Caenorhabditis elegans: one gene and its partners. The protein of the gene in region 1 interacts with the protein of each later gene in a pairwise test. Each region holds a gene or a part of one and is shown in the gene's direction. Other genes may lie near its edges.

The links.
Region 2: the proteins of lrx-1 (region 1) and wht-7 interact in a two-hybrid assay, tested with the Caenorhabditis elegans proteins (one large-scale study listed by BioGRID).
Region 3: the proteins of lrx-1 (region 1) and Y69A2AR.18 interact in a two-hybrid assay, tested with the Caenorhabditis elegans proteins (one large-scale study listed by BioGRID).
Region 4: the proteins of lrx-1 (region 1) and clec-266 interact in a two-hybrid assay, tested with the Caenorhabditis elegans proteins (one large-scale study listed by BioGRID).

What each region holds. Positions count from the first base shown.
Region 1 is NC_003283.11:12,250,736-12,256,000, forward strand, and holds lrx-1 (LRP X(cross)-hybridizing), read left to right. Parts: upstream 1-1,949; 5' UTR 1,950-2,042; coding exon 2,043-2,129; intron 2,130-2,626; coding exon 2,627-2,731; intron 2,732-2,813; coding exon 2,814-3,098; intron 3,099-3,280; coding exon 3,281-3,410; intron 3,411-3,610; coding exon 3,611-3,736; intron 3,737-3,783; coding exon 3,784-3,918; intron 3,919-3,964; coding exon 3,965-4,081; intron 4,082-4,537; coding exon 4,538-4,659; 3' UTR 4,660-4,715; downstream 4,716-5,265. Other genes in the region: rad-50 (Zinc-hook domain-containing protein), read left to right, coding at 1-116, 160-324; T04H1.5 (G patch domain-containing protein 11), read left to right, coding at 612-786, 837-1,392, 1,476-1,614; T04H1.12 (Activin_recp domain-containing protein), read left to right, coding at 4,908-5,094.
Region 2 is NC_003281.10:6,146,549-6,151,500, reverse strand, and holds the start of wht-7 (ABC transporter domain-containing protein), read left to right. Parts: upstream 1-1,910; 5' UTR 1,911-1,915; coding exon 1,916-2,002; intron 2,003-2,051; coding exon 2,052-2,108; intron 2,109-2,154; coding exon 2,155-2,263; intron 2,264-2,306; coding exon 2,307-2,434; intron 2,435-2,453; exon of another isoform or gene 2,454-2,490; coding exon of another isoform or gene 2,491-2,757; intron 2,758-3,204; coding exon of another isoform or gene 3,205-3,303; exon of another isoform or gene 3,304-3,315; intron 3,316-3,434; exon of another isoform or gene 3,435-3,551; coding exon of another isoform or gene 3,552-3,795; exon of another isoform or gene 3,796-3,949; coding exon of another isoform or gene 3,950-4,310; intron 4,311-4,361; coding exon of another isoform or gene 4,362-4,562; intron 4,563-4,614; coding exon of another isoform or gene 4,615-4,857; intron 4,858-4,952. Other genes in the region: rotr-1 (Nbl1_Borealin_N domain-containing protein), read right to left, coding at 1,117-1,226, 1,348-1,387, 1,439-1,485; Y42G9A.2 (uncharacterized protein), read right to left, coding at 2,491-2,757, 3,205-3,303; Y42G9A.3 (Leucine-rich repeat and WD repeat-containing protein 1 LRR domain-containing protein), read right to left, coding at 3,552-3,795, 3,954-4,310, 4,362-4,562, 4,615-4,857.
Region 3 is NC_003282.8:2,494,005-2,498,220, forward strand, and holds Y69A2AR.18 (F-ATPase gamma subunit), read left to right. Parts: upstream 1-1,730; 5' UTR 1,731-1,744; coding exon 1,745-1,831; intron 1,832-1,878; coding exon 1,879-1,983; intron 1,984-2,035; coding exon 2,036-2,285; intron 2,286-2,339; coding exon 2,340-2,449; intron 2,450-2,498; coding exon 2,499-2,745; intron 2,746-3,312; coding exon 3,313-3,413; 3' UTR 3,414-3,671; downstream 3,672-4,216. Other genes in the region: Y69A2AR.19 (Protein-tyrosine-phosphatase), read left to right, coding at 1-59; ccdc-12 (Coiled-coil domain-containing protein 12), read right to left, coding at 548-763, 817-970, 1,024-1,163; Y69A2AR.16 (Exportin-4), read left to right, coding at 3,813-3,854, 4,028-4,130.
Region 4 is NC_003284.9:6,616,891-6,622,696, reverse strand, and holds clec-266 (C-type lectin domain-containing protein), read left to right. Parts: upstream 1-1,890; 5' UTR 1,891-2,593; coding exon of another isoform or gene 2,594-2,617; 5' UTR 2,618-3,450; coding exon of another isoform or gene 3,451-3,512; 5' UTR 3,513-3,569; coding exon of another isoform or gene 3,570-3,675; 5' UTR 3,676-3,867; coding exon 3,868-4,045; intron 4,046-4,192; coding exon 4,193-4,284; intron 4,285-4,336; coding exon 4,337-4,480; intron 4,481-4,743; coding exon 4,744-4,871; coding exon of another isoform or gene 4,872-4,875; exon of another isoform or gene 4,876-4,938; coding exon 4,939-5,143; 3' UTR 5,144-5,258; downstream 5,259-5,806. Other genes in the region: kqt-1 (Potassium voltage-gated channel subfamily KQT member 5), read right to left, coding at 1-58, 103-229, 295-385, 439-587, 776-828, 878-974, 3,451-3,512, 3,570-3,675.

The sequences.
Region 1 (5,265 bases):
CAACAACAAATTTGGATGAGAGCAAAGTGGAAGGAATGGCTATCGTTTTGGCAGATATAATTGCTGAAAGACGCGGATTCGATGAAAATGGAAAGTTGAGAGGAAGAGATATGCAGGTATGGGATAATGAGCTATCAAAACTAATAATCAAACTTATAGATGGTAGTAATCACTCACGATGAGCGACTCGTCAACAGGATCACAATCAGTTGTCGTCCAGAGTATATTTATTGTTTGGGGAAGGACGAGCACGGAATAAGTTTCCTTTCGAAACGTTATCCAGATGGAACAGTGAAAAGAGTTAATACGAAGAGACGGTTCTAGAATGGTATTGAAGAATCTCAATAGTACAAATAATATTTTACGGTCTCAAAATTGATTCGCTCACCTTTTAATTATGTTTTATGCTTTGTCAGATCATTCCCGAGTTTCCAAATGTTGTTACCTCATGTTTTATATTTTACGAGATGAACCCGATGCATCGGCCGATGTGAAATGAAAAATATTTTCTAACTGTTTCAATATTCTAATGCGTTTTTTGCTACGCTTTTGTTTCTTTCTTCTTGTTAAAAGCTAACCTTATTCATAAAAAATTTCGATTCAAGATCAGAATGTCTGACGATGAGGATGACTACATGTCTGCTGAAATTCTCCAAGGAGTTAGTGAACAACCAGTTGGAATTGCAAAATCTAGAGCTCACAAGCGAGAACTACAAATAAATTCAAGATTTGAAGAGTCCAGAGACACGTTTAAACCAAAAAGGCCAACTAGTCATGCTGAGCGAGGTTTGTAAATCGTAGTATATTATTTTTGTAGTTTACCAAATAAATTTCAGAAAAAGAACGTCGCGACGAGGCGCTCGCAAAACCGATTAGCCACGAATCGAAAGGATTTGCATTGATGGCAAAAATGGGATTCAAACCTGGTATGACATTGGGAAAGCAAAGAGAAGACGAAATTCGAATTACGGAACCAATTGGTGTCGATATCAAGGCTAATAGGAAGGGACTTGGGCACGAGGTTGAAGCAGTTCAAGAACGCAATGAACGAGTTGAGGCTGTAATGCAAAAAATGAAAGAACAAGCGGCAAAGCATGAAGAGCTGATCGATGACTATTCCAAACGGCGGAAGCTTGATGCCAACTCAAAGCAATTAGTCAAAGACATCAGATCTTGTCGAAAGGTGTGCGAAGAGTTGGATCATCGAATTGGAAAAAAAGTTCCCAGTGTTTCGTGGTTTTGGAGAAGTTATAAAGTTGCTCAAGAGGAAACTACATCTTACCATAAAAAAGTTGAAAAAGAAGATGAAGAATATAAGTACTCAAATGGTTTAGCAGCTCCAGAAGATCCGAATTATGATTTCACAATGTCAACGGAAATTTTAGAAGAAGCGTAAGTTTTTGTTTTGTAGATAAGGTTTCAATGAGCGTTATTTATCCAAACCGACAATAGTATTAAATATGCGTTTATTTCAGACTTTCCACTATCAACAATTATCTTCGAGATGGTCACTTCTATTGTATTTGGTGCGGAGCCAACTTTTCCTCGCCAGAAGATATGATCGAACATTGTCCTGGGAGCACTCGTCGAGCACATCATGGAGAAGATGAATAGATTAATTATTTTCATAAAATCTCAATTCTTGATGTATATACTATGAATCCTTTTTTATAACCAAGTTCGTGTCCTAACATCGTGTCACTTTTTTTTTTTGCTTTTTTGCTTCATTATTGTCTGCTCCTGTGTTGTTTCTCAAGGTGGGAACGTATCAAGTGACAAGTGACCACTAGTCAGTCAGCTTGAAGTGGCGATCAGTTGCCGCGCACCACCAGTAGCCCCCAACAGCGCGAAAAGCTTCTTTAGCGATAGAAAAGAACACAAACAATTGAAAAAGAAGAAAGTCCAGTGCACACACGACACTTGTGCTTCTTCAGCTACAGTCTTCAGTGGGCAGCAACATCAAGTTCCACCATCTTTATCATCTGCTCATCCATTCTCTCGATCTGTTCCGGTAAATTTGATTGCCAATCATTTTGCAAATCATGGCATGGTTAACGTCCATATTTTTCATTCTTCTAGCCGTTCAACCGGTTCTTCCACAGGATCTATATGGCACAGCAACTCAGCAGGTACAGTGAACTGTTCAAAAATTTGTAGCATTTGTTCTTATTTCTCTTTCTCAAAGTTTCTAATGCTTAGGGTCTCACCACGACCAAGATATTGTTCAAATGAAGGGCTCGCCAAGGGATTTGCACCTATAAGGAGTACTGTAGTTCAAGTTCAAGTTTTTTTTTCAATTTTTCCTCGTTCGTTCCGATTTTAATGCTTTATTTCTAACTATTTGTTTCGTATTTACATATAAATCGGTATGAGCTACAAGGAAAATATTTATGTAAAATCGAAAAAATTGTGAAATGAGTCGCACTACAGTACTATTTAAAATCACCGTATTTAAAATATTTCTGTCGTATCGAGACCTAATTTTGACAAAAAATCGCACAAAAAATCATTATGGTTTTAGGCAACATAAAGATTCCAATTGGATTCACAGACGATTTAAAAACTTAATTTTGAAAAAAATCAAAACAATCGTTTTTCTTTAGTGAATTGTATAAATATTTTCCAGCAGCCTTATCCATATGTACAACCTAGTGCTTCGTCTGGTTCTGGAGGCTACGTTCCAAATCCTCAATCAAGCATTCATACTGTTCAGCAGCCATATCCAAATATTGTAAGTTATAAAGGCTTGGGCCAGGGCCGAGGATAGGTCTATATTTGTTTACATTACCAGAATATCAAGAAACAATATTTAGGATGTAGTCGAACCAGATGTGGATAGTGTAGACATTTATGAAACTGAAGAACCTCAATTTAAAGTTGTGAACCCTGTATTTCCACTTGGTGGATCTGGAATCGTTGAACCTGGTACAATCCCACCACCAATGCCTCAAACTCAAGCTCCAGAAAAACCAGACAACAGCTATGCAATTAACTATTGTGATAAACGAGAATTCCCAGATGATGTACTAGCACAATATGGATTAGAAAGGATTGATTATTTTGTATACAACACTTCATGCTCTCATGTTTTCTTCCAGGTAATTTTTTGGAAATTATTTTTCTGAAATACAGAAATAGTTGAACAAATGTATAATTTAAAGTATTGAAACTTATCTTTATTGTATGCACGAAATAAGCTATTTTTATTTGTATGCTATCAATATTTATATTTCTACAGTCAATAGATTTCTGAAATTCCGAACTTCTTTCATATTTTCAGTGTTCAATTGGCCAGACTTTTCCTCTGGCGTGTATGTCCGAAGATCAAGCATTTGATAAGTCTACTGAAAATTGTAATCACAAGAATGCTATTAAATTCTGTCCAGAATACGATCATGTCATGCACTGTAGTAAGTCATTCAATTAAGAGTATGTATAAAATTTCATATGGCGTTGATGCACCATGAGGTGCGCTTGAAAGTTTGTAAATCTGCAATTTTCTGATTTTGATTTTATGGAAACTTAATTATTTCATCGATTTTTTCTCGAAATCTATAAAATATATTTATTTACAAAAAGCTCCAATATAAAATAGTGTTTGATATTGCAGCAATCAAAGACACCTGTACTGAAAATGAGTTTGCTTGTTGTGCAATGCCTCAATCCTGTATCCATGTGAGCAAACGTTGTGATGGTCACCCAGACTGTGCCGATGGGGAAGATGAGAACAATTGTCGTAAGTTACTCATTACAACAATTGCCAATTAAATTGAAAACCTTTAGCATCGTGTGCACGTGATGAGTTTGCATGTGTGAAGAGTGAACATTGTATTCCTGCAAACAAAAGATGTGACGGTGTGGCTGATGATTGTGAAGATGGATCGAATCTTGATGAAATTGGATGCAGTAAAAATACAAGTAATTTTTACTTTTTAAAATGTACTTTATAACAAAGTAATTAAAGCTTGTATTGGAAAGTTCGTCTGTGGAACATCGCGTGGAGGTGTTTCATGTGTGGATTTAGATATGCATTGTGATGGAAAGAAAGATTGTTTAAATGGAGAAGATGAAATGAATTGTAGTAAGTTTTTTTCTGCCTCCCTTCTTCTCACCCGGAAAACACCTCTGGAAAGTTATAAGTGGCGAAATAATGTACAGTACTTCCTCTAATAATATCGCATCCTACTATTTCACTTTAAAAGGTTATACCTCGGTTCAATTTAAAGATATTGAACATATTTTTCAATAAATAATTGACTGCAAACGATAGAAAAAAGTTTTCAAAAAATTGTCAAATGACAATTTTTAAATAGGAGAAAAGACAACTGAGATATTTAATTGTCAAAGTCTAACATTGGGAGTGCAACATTAATAGAAATACATACAATTTGGAATGTCTTTCTTAACTATAACCACACATTTTGGCACAACTTCAATGTGCGAACTTTTTCTTGTTCGAGACAAAAACATAGGAAAAAAAGTATTTTTAGCCAAGTGTCCAAATAAACACTGACGAATACTACACTTGTTATTTCAGAACAAGAAGGACGCCAAAAATATTTGCTCTGCGAGAATCAAAAACAATCAGTGACACGTCTACAATGGTGTAATGGAGAAACAGATTGTGCTGATGGATCTGATGAAAAATATTGTTACTAGATACTGCTGAACTTCTTGTCGATTTCCCTTAATTTATAAATAAATACATGAATGTCATTGCTTCTTGAAATATTCTTTCAAATTATTTGACAAAACGATTAGTTTCGCTTTGAAAATTTGACGGAAAAGAGGTCGAAAAGGGTGGGGACTGGTTATTTTTCAAGGTTTACTGTTTCTCTTTTTCTCTTCTTTTTGTTACTCTTACCCCTTTTCAACTTTGACACCGAAAGTCAACCAGTGTTAGACTCATGAGTATTTCCGTATATTCTGTTACTATTTTCACACTTTTGACATTACTTCCGTTAATATGTATATCACTGGAGTGCATCAACTCAACATCATACATGGACAGAGTTCTCGTCAAACCAATGAGCTCACATTGTCGTTTGAATAATGCACTTTGTGTGAAGACAATGCAAATTAGTCAGAATTCTGGTATGCACATATTTTTTGAAGTTGGAACTTTTAATATTGATCATTTCGTATTGACCGTCTCCGACTCAATATTTTTTGTTCCAACATTGATTAACTACCATTAACTGTCATTAAGTTCTGGTCCAAAAAATTGAATCAGAAGTTGGCAGAAGTTTGAACAAAGTTGAGCTA
Region 2 (4,952 bases), on another chromosome or scaffold:
TCGTCCGAAATCGTGTTCAGAACATACAAACTAGAAATAATTACAAACATTGGATTTTTCTATAACATCTAATCATATTATAAAAAGTTTCCAAAAAAAAAATTTTGAAAAATTTTGTAAGGGGGGACCCTTTGGATTTTTTTTTCAAAAATCAAAAAAAATTTTTTTTCAAAAATTATCAAATTTTTATCAGGTATTGTAGAAATATGTTGAATTGTTTGTTTCTATAAGTTTTTTTGCTAAGTTCGGTGCTTTCGATAAGTCAAACCGACATTCCTTGGAGCTCTGAAAATTAAAACCTCCTGTATTAAAATGGATGTATCTAATTCTAGAGGCAAGATATCAAAAAGTTATCAACTACAACGTTGTTAAGTTTAAAACAATAAACATATTGATAGTTGTAAGTATCTCTTCATCTTTATCGAGAACTGAGATATATTTAAGTACAAATCTAGAATATTTTGGTTATCTTTTGAAGCCCACATCTCCGCAGTCACTAAAGATAACAAAAAGTTACCAACTAACAAAATGTTTTTCACATTATTGTCAACAACTTTTCAGTTGGCCACATTTTATTAATTCAAATGCCAACAGAGTTATGAGTCTTTTAAAGTAAGACGTCTATATGCTCAATCAACTCTTATATAGGTGATTGTTCGACTGAGAATGTAATATGAATGTCCAAACTTGTGGGAAATAACAAATTGGTATTTTTTCTATAAATATAACCCTTAAAAAAGTAACAAAATGTTTTTCACATTATTCAACAACAGATGACTCTAATAGTAGATGTTCGGAAATGAAGTGAACATTACAACAATCAATTGATTGTAACATTGTTAACAATAAACACTTCCATAAACACGTATACTAGTTATGCATGAATACTTCGGAAATACTTTGCTATGCTCCTTTTTTACTTCTTTTTTGATTTTCGGATTGGTCAATTTATTCACCCATTGCTTCGTCTTTTTGCGGTCCTTCGCCCATTTTTCCCCCATCGTTCACCCGCCAGCGCCCCTTCACCCACTATTCAGCCATTTTTCACACTTGGCGCTTTACCTGTGTGAGCTATTGAGGCCGACGGGAAAACTGATCGGACGGCCCGGAACGTACGTATGAATTTTCCGAAGTTGATCGAATGTTATCGCTGTTTTCGCATTTGCACTGGACTCTTTCTGTTGACGAATGTCACGTTCTAACATTTGAATTTCCCGTTCACATTCCTTCAAATTATTATTATAGATTTCCAAGTTTTTGATCCAAGGCGAGCAAATGCGCTCTAATGAATTATATTGATCTACCTTCTCAGACTTTTGAAAAACTGTTAATGGAAGTTTAACTTACATTTATTGAAATGAATTGGCCCATAGATCCATCATCATTTCTAAAAATTTAAATTTCAGATTTTCCGAATACCGTACTCTATTCGACTTACGTTTCATATTTGGAAACCGAAAAACTCGACTCTTGACTGTCGTCCATCGTCGTTGATTTTTTCAACACAATGAGCCCTTCTGTTGTGTTGGATGATAAGAATGTCACTTATCATTTCCGACAATCGTCATCGACCGTGGTGCACAGAGCTCCGCAAGTGAGCTCTTGTTGATGACGAGTCGAATCGATTCTGTTTGTTTGTCTTTGCGTTTATGAATTTTTGTGTGAGATGCACATGATTTTTATTCGATATTGAAAACTCCCTATCGGTTTTTCTGTCCGATTAAAATTTTCACCGTCGTCGGTGATTCACCCATTTCTTCTGATAATTTGTCGTCAAGTACGGTGAACTGTGTGTGCAAGTTTGCGTACCGGTGTTTGCGGGGTCAATGATTTATTTTTCGCGCTTCTTTGAATTTTATTACCGCCGCCTTCGGTTTAATCAATTTATACTCATTTTTCACCTTTTTCAGCAAAAATGCTCAAATCAAATGTTATTCAAGGTTCAATCGAGTCAATGAGTGTAGTGGATTCAACTTCTGATATTGATAAAGCTGATAAATCCGTGATTTTTTATTTTTGCATAGTTTTCAATTAATTTTTAATTTTTACAGTTTATGGAAGAGCTTCGACCAAAAATGCTGCTGACATGGCACGATATTTCAGTTTCGGTATATAATAAAAAATTTTGTTGTGAACAATATTTAGAATTTTCAGGACTCTTCAGAAGACTACTCTTCAAATAGTGGACTTTTTGGAAAATGTTGCCCGATCAAAGTCGGTGATGTAGAGAAGATGTCAGTGGAAAAACGGATTTTAGATAGTGGTAAATTTGATACTATCGGAAACGAAATTATAATAACTTTCAGTGTTCGGAGTGGCTCGACCCGGAGAGGTTACCGCGATCATTGGACCCAGTGGAGCTGGAAAAACTACGCTGCTCAATGTGCTTACAAAGCGAAACCTTTCAAATTTGAAAGCTACCGGAAGTGTCAAGGTGAGCTAAATTATAATTTAAAAAGACTGAAAATTTATTTATTTCTTCAATTCCAATTATTCTTGGTTGACAACGCCTTCCACCTTCATTTTCCTGTTCTTAGTTCCATTTTTCTTGGTTTTCTCCATTTTCTCAGTGACAGGAGCCAATGTAGTTGTTGATGAGAGACATGGGACTACTGTACTATGATACTGTGTTGGATATCGTCTCTGTGCATATTGTTTAGCACTTGACACACAGATACTGTCTTCACAATCGGCTGTCTTGGCGGCCAAAACGGTGTCCACGGGAGTCAGACAGTTGACCAACTTGTTGACTGTTTTCTATAATTTGATATCATCAGTTGTGGTGGGACAATGAACATTTTCTGAAAAAAAACCTGGGGAATACCCCCTTGTGACACAGAAAATTCAGAGATTAGGCCTTAAAACTATATTAAATTTTGTGTTTGCAAATTGAGACTTGTAAACCGGTTAACAAGAATTGCAAGGTGTTAGAGAAGATGATATTTAGGACTTTTGCAGAGATCATCGTTCGAAAATCAAATTTGATAAATGATACATTGTCTAAATTCCACAAATTAAATGTTTTTTTTTACTTTGAGCAAAAAAAAAACCAAAAACAGGGAACTTATGTAGTAACCGTACCCCAAAGGCTATTAATTTTGCACAACTAAAAAAATTTGAGAAAAACATTTTTGCAACCAAAGTTTCGCGTTTCAAGAAAAAAAGATAGCAACTTTCATTCCTTTCCAGAAAATAAATGCTCACCTTTGTGTGTTTCGAAAGTTTTGGTGCTCTTGTTGCACATTCCACATGGAATACAGTCAAAATCACAGAAAATATAAAAATTAATGTCAAAGTTTGCATTGTTTCGAATGAGTCGATAAATCACATTGAATATCCATGTCATGACCTCCCTTTGTTAATCTTCTTCGGGTTTTAGTACAAATCGATTTGGTTTAGTCTTTTTAATCGTCTCTAACTATAGTTGGAAAGTGTACCCAAAAAACAGTTCATATAATTCCTCGGCGTATGAAAAAAAAACATGAAAATGTCAATATAACGAGATCACAACTGAGATTCTAAGTTTGAATTAAAATACATTAACACGAAATTCAACCAAGCAAGACTCTTCTCATGATTGGCTCAATCTCCTCTTCTGATTCAGACGAAGTATCGTAGTCGACTGATGGAACTCCGGCGGAGCAACGTGGTGAGCACAGGAACTGCATAAGTGGAACTCGATACTTTCCGCAGAAATCCACAAATTTTATATGCTCAACTCGAGCATCGAAGTAGACTCCTTGACATTCAGGGTTGACACATTGACAAGCGGATCCTAGATAAGCTACGAGATCACTGAAAAGGGTTATTGTAAGGCATTCGATAAACAATTTGATTCAAAAATATCGTACTCTGATCAGAAACAAGGTCACGTCAGGGTTCAATTTGATACAATTTTGAATCACTAGAATGTCCCCAACATAAAATAAAATTAAAGATTTGATAAGACTTACGATGGCAAAATTTCGTCCAGATTCGGTACTTTGTGATAGTTCTGTCGAACAGTTCTTCCTGATAATTCTTTCAATGATGGAGGTGCAAGATCCATATTATGAACGAATGAATGAACCAGAGGATTGTTACGGAGAGATAATTGCTGCAGACGTCGCAGATTTAAAATATCAGTGGGCAGAGTTCGCAATCTGTTGTTATGCAAGGACAAAGTCTCCAAATAGTGCAAATCTCCTAATGTTGATGGAATTGTCTCTAGAATATTATCACAAAGACCAAGGTTTTCCAATTCATCTAGGCAACCAATGGATGCAGGAATTTCACGGAGTCGATTACCTCCGAGATATAGAACTCTCAGTCTAAAAAATGAAATGATTAACAGTTTTTAAACACAGTTTCAGGAAACTTACAACGTAAGAACACTAATGTTTGATGGGCAACTGTCGATGTAATTTCCTCCGAGATGAAGAGTTTTCAATTTTCTCATAGTCAAAATGACTGGTGGTACGTATTCAAGTCGATTTCCAGAAAGATAAAGATGTTCCAAATTCTCAAGAAGTTGCAATCCTTTTGGTAAATGTTCCAACAAGTTGTTTCGAGCAATTAGAGTTCTGAAATCAACTCAAGTCAATTAAATTTTAACTTGGTAACTGATGTACTCACGTCAAACTGCTCAGAGTACCAATATCTTCTGGTAAAGCCGAAAGTGAATTGAACGATACATCAAGAACCGAGACATTATTGAAAGTTGTGAGACCACGAAGAATCACGAAAGAGTTATGAGTGAGATCCAACTTTTTAACATTTTGTGGATCGTAATCTTCTTCTGGCTGCTCAATATGATACCGCATTGGAATTTCTTCAAGTCCATAGTCATGAAGAACAAGTTCGTCGGATTTAGTACTTCTGAAAGTACCGGTTCATTATATCAGCTGATTGCCAGCCGTTTTTATCAGTGTTCGTGATTCTACACGCATTTACAGTGTGATATATCAAACAAA
Region 3 (4,216 bases), on another chromosome or scaffold:
TTGGTGGTGATCGTAAGAAAGGAGGAGCCGAGTGTATTGCTGTCGACATGGAATATTGAGAATTGACTTGATTTTTGCCTACTAGAAGACTTGATTATGTCATTGAACTTTTTTCATGACCACCAATGAATTATTTCTTGAAACTGTTGATCAATAGTAACCTATAATTAAATATATACTTTTGCCTGTTTTTCATAGATTTCCTGAAGGAATTCCCTTTTTTCCACTGAATTTTAATGAAAAAAGGGAACTTTCTCGTCTGCAAAAAGTAAAAGATCCAAACTTTTCGGTTGTTTTTTTTGATCTTAAAAGCTTTGAAAAAAAAGAATAAATTAGTGAATTTGTCACAAAAGCTTTTTGAGCCGGAAAAGTTTGCCAAAATTACACGTTTTGTTCTGAAGGATTTAGCGAAAATCGATTTTTTTTGCTACTGGGAGTTCGGGAAGTTCATAAAAAACCTGAAATTTGTCTGAATTTCTGTTTTTTCATACTTTGTGACTCGATAACAAGATTTTTCAGTGTGTATATCCGATTTATAATTTAAATTTTACAAATTTTGTGCCGCCGCAGCATTTACTGTAGCGGCGAGATCTCCTTTTCCTTCGGCGAGCCGCTGTCTGATGATCGTCGCCACGGCTTTCTGCGTTCTCCGCTCCAATTTTTGCAATTTCGACTCGATGTCTCGCTTCAAATCCCAATCGATCTTCTTCGGAGCCAACATCGCCAGATCTACGCTGTCGATGGCTTTTTCGTGCAGAACGTCCTAGAAAAAGCGGGGAATTTATGGAAAATTGTGATTTTTCGATGACTCTCTACCTTCAAATGCTCCGTAATTTCTCGCTGAACGATATCCAGATCCATGTCGACGTTTTGCGTGCCGACGGCATCGTCTGGCTTGTGATTCCGGAATTCTCGACCAACTTCGCGACTTTTCTTGGTAGAAGTCTCGCCTTCGTCGTAATCCTCCTCTCTGAAAGGAAAAACAATAGCATTATGCAATTTTTGAATGAAAATGACACTCACTGCATCTCAATTCCATGAATCTTCGACTTCATCGCTAGTAATCGTCGTTTGCGTGCTTTCGCCGCAGCCTCTAACGACGTTTCATGATTTGTGAGACTTTCGATGTCTTCATCGGAATCGCTGTTGTTTTTGTCGGTCATCTGCAAATTTTTAATTATATTCAATACATTTCAGTAATTTTCATGTAAAAAAATCAAAGAAAAAGACGAATTTTAAGCAAAAATCAGCTGAAAAACAAAAAAAATTAATTCAAAAACTCAGTGTGGATTTACGGCGTGTGGTGGGTCTCGCCGCGAAATGGGGGTACGGTCACAGTCGTTTCGCGTGTGCGATTTATGTTTCTCGGGCGGTTGCCATTTTTTGCGCGTGAAAATTCATTTTTCCACGGATTTTCAGCGATTTTCAGGTTTTTTCTTTAATTTTTATTGATTTTCTGTTGAAAATTAACAGTTTTCATTTAGAATTACGTAAAAACAGCGTGCTGAGCGCCTGATTTTGATAAAATTAGGTCTAAATCTGAAAGTAAAAATGCGTTTTGTCCGCATTTTTCGTTTCCTTTCTGAAACCTATAGAAAACAATTTGCAATTTTTATTTCAACATTGATATATGCATACATGGAAAATTCTCATTGAATTTTTCCTGAAAACGTTCAAGAAATTACGTCATTTTCGAAGTTTTTAAATACCCGTTTTCTCAATATCTACAGTTTTCAGGGTCATCATGCTTCGTCAAGGCGCGGGAACTCTCCAGCTTGTGTCTCAAGGCTTCGCCAATGCCGAGCAGGCTCGTGGATTTGCCACTTTGAAGGTAACTAGGCGATTTTTTGAAGCTTCCCACAATTCTCCAATTTTCAGGACATTTCCATCCGTCTGAAGTCGGTCAAGAACATCCAAAAGATCACCAAATCCATGAAGATGGTTGCCGCCGCCAAGTACGCCAAGGCTGAGCGTGAGTTGAAGGTAAAACTTTGATTTTATTCAAGAAAAATCTTTAAATATCAAAATTTTCCAGGGAGCTAGAGCCTACGGAGTCGGAGCCAAGACCTTCTTCGACAACATCGATCCAGTTGTCGAGGGAGTCGAGAAGCAAGAGTCCAAGAAGCAAGTTTTGGTGCTCATTACCTCCGACAGAGGACTTTGCGGTGGAGTTCACTCTTCCATCGTCAAGGAGGCCAAGAACATCCTCAACAACGCCGGAGACAAGGAAATCCGCGTTGTAGCCATCGGAGACAAGTCCAGAGCCGGACTTCAACGTCTTTATGGTAATATTTTGGTTTTTCTCGGGAAAAAGTCTTAAAATTGTGTTTATTTTCCAGCTAACAGCATTCTTCTCTCCGGAAACGAGATTGGACGTGCTCCACCAAGCTTCGCTGATGCTTCCATCGCTGCCAAGGCTATCCTCGACTCTGGATATGACTTTGAGACTGTAAATATTCAAATTCTAGTTAAAAACCCCCCATTTTTTTTTCTTGCAGGGAACCATCTTGTTCAACCGTTTCAAGACCGTCGTCTCGTACGAAACCTCAAAGCTCCAAATTCTTCCATTGGAGGCAATCAAGGCCAAGGAAGCCCTCAGCACGTACGATTCCGTCGACGATGACGTTCTCCAATCGTATTCCGAGTATTCGCTCGCCCAATTGATCTACTACGGAATGAAGGAATCCGCAACCTCAGAGCAGAGCTCCAGAATGACTGCCATGGACGGAGCATCGAAGAACGCCGGTAAGAGGCGGCGATGGACGACGATGCGAAGAATTAGATGATTTCTGATTGAACAGCCCAGAAAATTGCAATTTTGGGCTTGAAATTTGATATTTTTGCTGGAAAACGTATTTTGGGCATTTTTGGAGTTAAAATCGGCTCATTTTCGTGATTTTTCGCGAATATTCTTTTATATTTCCAGACAATTTTCTGATTCGAATGGTTCGCATTCTGTTTTCTAGGAATATCCGGTTTTCGTGTTGCAAATCGCCGAAAAACTACTTTTCTCAACAAAAAAAACTGTTTCAAAACTTTAAAAATGGTCGATTTTCTGCAAAAAAACGTCGGAAATCGTTGAGAATCTGTTTTGTTACAATTTTTTTAAAACCATGTGGAATTTTAATTTAACGTTAAATATCCATTTTCTACTGAAAAACCAGATTTTCTTGCCCAAAAATGTTATTAAAAAATTTGCAGCGACGGGATTTCGGAGTGTCGTTTACCGGCGCGAAATCTTGTTTTTCTCAAATGTTAACTACAGAATCCAAAAAATAGCTACAACATCAAATTTAATTTCTATTTTTTCAGGAGAAATGATCGACAAGCTTACATTGGCCTTCAACAGAACTCGTCAAGCAGTGATTACTCGCGAACTTATCGAAATCATCTCTGGAGCTGCCTGCGTCTAAATATCTCTCTCTCTCTGTCCCTTTTCTACATCCATTGTTGTTCAAACTATCGCTGTTTCGACGCCCCAATTTTCCCCACTTTAAATCCTTCCTGTCACCCCCAAAAATTAGATGTTTCGATTTATTTTTTATTTTTTTGTGTGTAACCCGTTGTTATAGTGATACGTTTGAGTAAATAGTGACACAAAAACAAGCGAAATAAATATATTTTTGTATGATTTCCCGGTCGTGGAAATCATGCAAAAAAATTTGATTAGTATGGTAGTCTTAAAATATTTTTTTTGCGGAAAATTTTTGGGAAAAAATGACGGTAAGAATTACCTAATGCGGATTATTTTGGAAGAAAAAAAAATAGATTAAAAAGAAATTAATTAAAATTTTTTAGGAAAAAACCGATAAATGGATCTCGCGACGATAGAAGGATATGCACAAACCTTATTGGTAAATTTTCAGAAAATTTCAAATAAATGTTAGATTTTAACAATTATTTGCTAAAAAATTCTGAATTTTCCTGAATAATCGTTAAATCCGTGATTTTCCGAATTTTTGAGTGAAAAAAACGGCAAATTTTCGGTTTTTTTCAGGAAAAATTCTCTAAAACCCCAATTTTTCAGGCCCCACCGAACCTGGTGACGTCAGAAGCCCGTGAACAAGTCACATTCTTTTTCGAGGATTTAAAGAAGAAAATTTCAATTAACGAATGTTTAATTCTGCTCAGTACGTTGGAAAATCGCTGAAAAAACTTGGTTTTTGACAAGAAATTCACGAAAAACGCTAGGAAATCGCTAAAACCCTTAATTTTT
Region 4 (5,806 bases), on another chromosome or scaffold:
ACTTGCCCAGTTGCTCCGATACATAATACTGTGATAGATGCAAGAATAACGATTATGTCTGAAAATATAGTCAGACTAGACACGAACTATTGTAGTGCGAACCGATGACGCAGTAAGCACTTGTGGCAAATCGTATCCGTCCGCTAATGCCTCGGTATCTTGAGCGGCATCCGGCTGACCAGACGCGGCAGATATATTCAGTAGCCAGCCAGATCACAAATACTATTTCCTGAACACTTTTAGTCATAAATTTAGGGCTATTAAACTTAAATTAAATTAAATTTGTTATCTTACCAAATAATATAACACAATTGTTGCATTAACTTCAAAATCTGGCATCGTAGAAAACACTGACAGCGCTAAGCACATTAGGACCATGAATAATCTGAAAAATGTTTTTTTTTAAATTAATTGTATTATTTTTCTCCGTAAGCTCACACTGCAAGATGATAAGTGGCAGCTTTCCAGCCACGCGGCCTTTCCAAAAAGTTATGCATTTTGTTCTGCATTCTTCGAAATCGTTGATCAGTACGATAGTTTTTATAGGTTAACGGTTTTCCAACTAATGACATTTTTCGGTTTCCTTCCTGAAATAGGCTAGCATTATTAAGATTGAGCAAAGAAATTGAGAATCATTGATTCAAAGCAATGGGTTGAAAGGGATGTTTCCCCTGCAGAAGCCACCCAACCCGACGGTTTTATGGCAACTCCATGTGGCAATGCTTAACTTTACTATCCTACACACAAGATTTATTGATTTTAAGTGGAAACCAACCTCAGAATCGTGTAGAGTTGTCAGTTGATCGTGTTCACTCGGGAATCCAATATCTAGAAAGTATTCAACTGGTTATTGTAAAAGCTTATTAATAATGCTTACCGGGTTCTTGAAATACAACTGTTTTTCGAGATTCTTGACCGATTGCTGAAGACGAGCCAGCTTCCTGCTGCTCATCACTTGGAGCTGCTTGATCAGTCTGAAAACGTCACTGAAAATTTGAACAGAAGTACATCTGAGGGTTAATAAGACTTCATCCCAAACCATTTTCAACGACTGCTTCTAAATGTATTCTCTCATAAGTGACTTCGTTACCCAATATCAGTAAACAAGAGTAACCCTTTGAGCAGAAAAAAAATGACTACAAGTAGAAAAATGTAGAGGTAGAAGCAGTCAGTCATGATATTCAATAAATAAATCCTCAGTAGTTTAAATAGTCGTAGTTAAGAGTAAGTATAATGATTGCGTTCTAATCTTATCTTCTTATTCTAGGATAATCATGCTAAACATTTGTTTATCTTTGACATCTCATGGATTATGAGCAAGACGTTTTTGATGTGAGGAAACTAATAACAAAAAACTTGGAAACACTTCCAAATGTTTGAACATTCACAAGAACAGGTGGAAGTTATAGACAGAAGGTTTTGTGAGAAAATCGGCAGTTTAGTACGCCCACTTTGATTATATGTTTCACGCTAGTAGAAATTACTTTAAGTTAATCAATATATGTTGTTGAAAGTAAATTTGCAAAAGTGTTGATTTTATGAGTGTCACAATGTTGACCGTTTATGATATATAAAAATAAAATCTGTCTGAATTCTTATTCTGCTAGCTTTCAAAAATGAGCTCTAGAGCTGTATAGTGTGAACAATAGAAAAGATTTTGTATGTTCAGCTGTGAGCTGGAGTTGTAAAGAGATACAAGAATTCTACCTATAAAAAGTAAATATGGAAAGCATGGATATCTTTTTTTCTCACATCCTCTTTTAGTCGGATTGAAAAAAAATCATAAAAATCATCGTCTCAGAAATATAAAATAGCTATTATTAGGCAAAGAATTGGAGTTGTCGAGTGAGTCTGTGCACTTTATACACACACCAACACACTTTTGAAACCAGAGGTGACGTTAATCGCGCGTGTGAGCTCTAATTTTATATTTCACCATTTTTTGGTGAGTTGGTAAGAGGTGTTTGTTTATAGAAAGATGACGATGACTATAATCAAGCCAGTGCGGAATCTAAGATTTTTGTAAGCAGAATTCGTAGTGATACTAGAAAATTGGTGTTTTCTTTTTTTCTCTCACAATCAGTATTATATCAGTATGGCAATAGTCGTCAGGAACTGCCGAAGAGAAATGTGTGAAGAGATGAGAGAATCAGAGCTGTCAAGCTCGGCTCGAAGAAGCCTTAGAAATGACCACTGCTTTCTTCATGAAAAGAGAAATTGCATAACAGAAAACAATCATCAGAATATGAATTGGTATTGATAAATATTCTAGACAATGAGTGTCAAAAAATAACAACTTATTTTGTTTCTCTAATATAAAACAATTCAAAAAGGTGTTCAGACTCGTATTTAGTCATGTGGGAAGCACACCAATAGATTTGAGACAAGAGGGATGCGTATTCGGTCGAAACCGGATACTAAAATGAATGTCAAAATGATTTAGGTTCGTCCGCTCTAGTAGTGTTTCAAGTTACAAGTCACAATAATCCAAAATATTTTCGTCACATGCTTCAAATATTCCCACCGTTTTTTTCTGTGACCGGCTCACCATGGCTACCGGACTCAATTTTCTCATTGTTAACCACATACTCACCGAGCTTCCACTTTCTTCGTCCATTGAGCTTCGGATTTGATGGAGGGTTGCGGAAAAGGGCAAAATAAAATCAAGATTTACGACGACAAGTCATAAATTATCAAGGAAACGAGAAAAGCACAGTTATCAAGGGGAGGCAACGCTGCTAACAATCAGTGTGCCCTTTCGATTGTTATCTCACCGCTTCTGAGCTCTGTCCGACTGAGCGCTATTTTTCTTGGGGAATCGCCACGCCCACATCCCTATTTCTCCTCTCTCTTTTGCATCCGAAAAAGCGGGGGCAATTGGGTGGCGAGTAATATCGGTTGAGAGACGGAGCACAAAGTGCTCTGTTGCTTGAAACAACGCGAACCGAGAGGGTAAAGGGAATGGTGCGCTTTTTAAATTTTAATTATTGCGATGCAAAATATTATGAAAAGTAATTGCAACTAAAATGAAATGTCTATTTTCCCATTTTTCTTGAAAATTGTTCACTAATTTAGAAACTTTTGTCAAAGAGATACACTTTTTTCTTACAAACTTGTTTTGAAAAAACAAAAGACTGAAGAACATAATGTGCTCTGTAATCTGAGGCTTAGGATCAGCGCTAAATAGAGAATACTAATGCGATCTCAAGGTTAATCGAAATTGTATTGTTGCTTCCATCTTGATGTTTGTCTGGGAAATAGCAACGTTTTGTGAGCTTGTGTGAGCACAACCCAATCCAGAAAAAAGAAGGATTTGATATTGAATAGGAATCCAAATGAAGAAGCAATGTTTACGGAAAAAAAGGAGAAGAGGGGGACATTAAGACATTCAACAGGCTTCTTGCATCTGGGGTGATAAATCCCCCTTCTTCACTCCACCTACATACATACCTCGTCTCCATTGAGCATACTGCAGCTCACTGATTTCACTGTGTTCCAATTTCCAATGAGACCTGGCAACGGATTAAAAATGCAAATTAGATTCTCTTGTTCGCACGCCGTCGTCTTACCTGGGTGCCAAGGCATTCGTGCCAATATCATTCCGTCTGGAGTCATTGGTGACTCTGGGGACAATAAATCTCCACCGTCATTGTCTTCTTGTGAAGCTTGAGACATATCTTCAAAATTGAAACTTTGACTGTGAAAATTTTGCAAGTTGAAAAGTGAAAAAAATTTCGACATTAAGTGATGCGATATGAAAACCTATAAAGCGCGTTCCTAAGACAATAACAATGACGAGTAGCCAACCCATCAATATCTATGATTATGTCAATAAAACACTCGAAACTTTTGAAGTGCTTTAGGGTAATGACGAAATTAAATATACCCCCCGTTTCACTTGATTCCAAATCAGTTCTTTGTTTAACAGTTACGATTTACCAAAGTTCATTTGAAAAATTCTATGTAACTAAAAGTTATTTCAGAATCTTCAAACTCGTTCTACTCGTAGCTGCCGTGGGATTTGTATCAACTCGGTTTGCTCAAGGTAAGATTATTTTGGAAATACTTCTCAATGTTTCGACATTGTCTATCGAACAGCACCAAAACTTTTTCAAAAAATTAACATCATTCTCACAAATTGAAGAAGGTTGCAATGTATTGCTATATGAAACTTACAATTGAAAGTTTTCAGTCAAACTCTTCAACTGGAGCTACAAGGATTTTGGAACCAACGCCTTCACTGATATTTCCCTTGACCAACGTCAACACTACCACGATTTTCCAGTAAGATAGTTTTTCGTTCCAACTAGGCCCGTAAATGCTATTCTATTTTCAGACTGGAACATGCCCGGACGGATGGGTTCGCTTCTCGGACTCGTGCTACTGGATAGAACAGCACAAGCAAAGCTTTGCTGAGGCTGAGAAACGGTGCTATGAGAAAAACGCGACACTTTTCGTGGTCAACTCACAGGATGAATGGGTAAGAAAACGAACAAAAAGGGCGCGAGGGGCAGGAGAGAAGCGGACTGTGACAAACGCCGCTCCGTCACCACTGCCACGGCGAAAAGCCAACCCACATATGTTTGGAATTTGTTGCGAATAGATGTCGCGAGTTGGTAATGCATACCCAATGATCTGTAGAGAGAACCACAAGTGGTCCGGGTGGGAGAAGGGAATGATCATCAAATTAACTGCTGAATCAATTGCGAAAACGTGAGCAAAAACTTAATAAATCAATTTCAGGATGCCGTCCGTGAGCATTTCCCACAAACCGGTTACACCTGGATTGGTCTTGTTCGTTTCACCCACTTTGAGAAATCCCAAGATGCTCCAATTTGGCAGACCGAAGGAGCCGTCAACCCAACTAGACTGTAAGCATTTGCCCTAATGCAGAAGTTTGACATTACCAAAAACTTTTCAAAATGTATTAATTTTTAGCAACTGGCTCATCCGCCCATACAAACCAGTTTCTAATGGATGGTCTGCTCTTGCCAACTGTGCTGCTCACTTCAGTGCCGCTATCAACTGGGACGCTTCTGCCTACACATACTTCCAGCCATGCTCTTTCAAGTTCTACTCGATCTGCGAGAGAAACGGAACTATTCTTGATTTTTTGAACAGAAAGTTTGATTTCCAAGATTAAATTGTATTATAAACGCGATCAATAATTGTATTTAATCTCAACTTGTGTCTATAAAAAACTGTATACTATGTATATTTTTCAATTGTTCAACTCAATAAAGTTTCCATAATATTAATTATTTTTTACTTTTTTTCGGATGAAAATTTATATTTGTAATAATAAATTGAAAAGGTAATTCAAAAAAAACAACAGTGGGAAAAATGACGAATTTGGTCATTTGAAGTCATGTTTTCAGACTTTGTCAAGGCAAAACTTTTAGCGGCTGAACTCAACCCAAAACGCGGTCTGGAATATTTTGAATGCAGTTTTTTCACTAGTTTTTAAACCCGTTAAACTGCTCCAAAAAATGTTTCAAAAAATTCAACATTTTTTGATCGAGTTAGTTCAAAAATGTTCAGTTGTTTTTTTTCAAAAATAATTAAAAAATTTTAAAAAAAGCCTTCCAGATTATTTTCCTGCCACCAGACAACTCTAGAAAAAATTCAGAAAATCTGCAGACATCCCGTAAGCGATTAAAATAATTCTAAGAAATGATGGACTAAAAATATTTCAGACCGCGTTTTCAGGAGTTCTGAAATGAGTTCAGTCGTTCACATTTTTGTGGTGAATAAGTTTAAACATAATCTTCCAAGTTTTCCTTCAAAGATGGAAAATATAATAGAA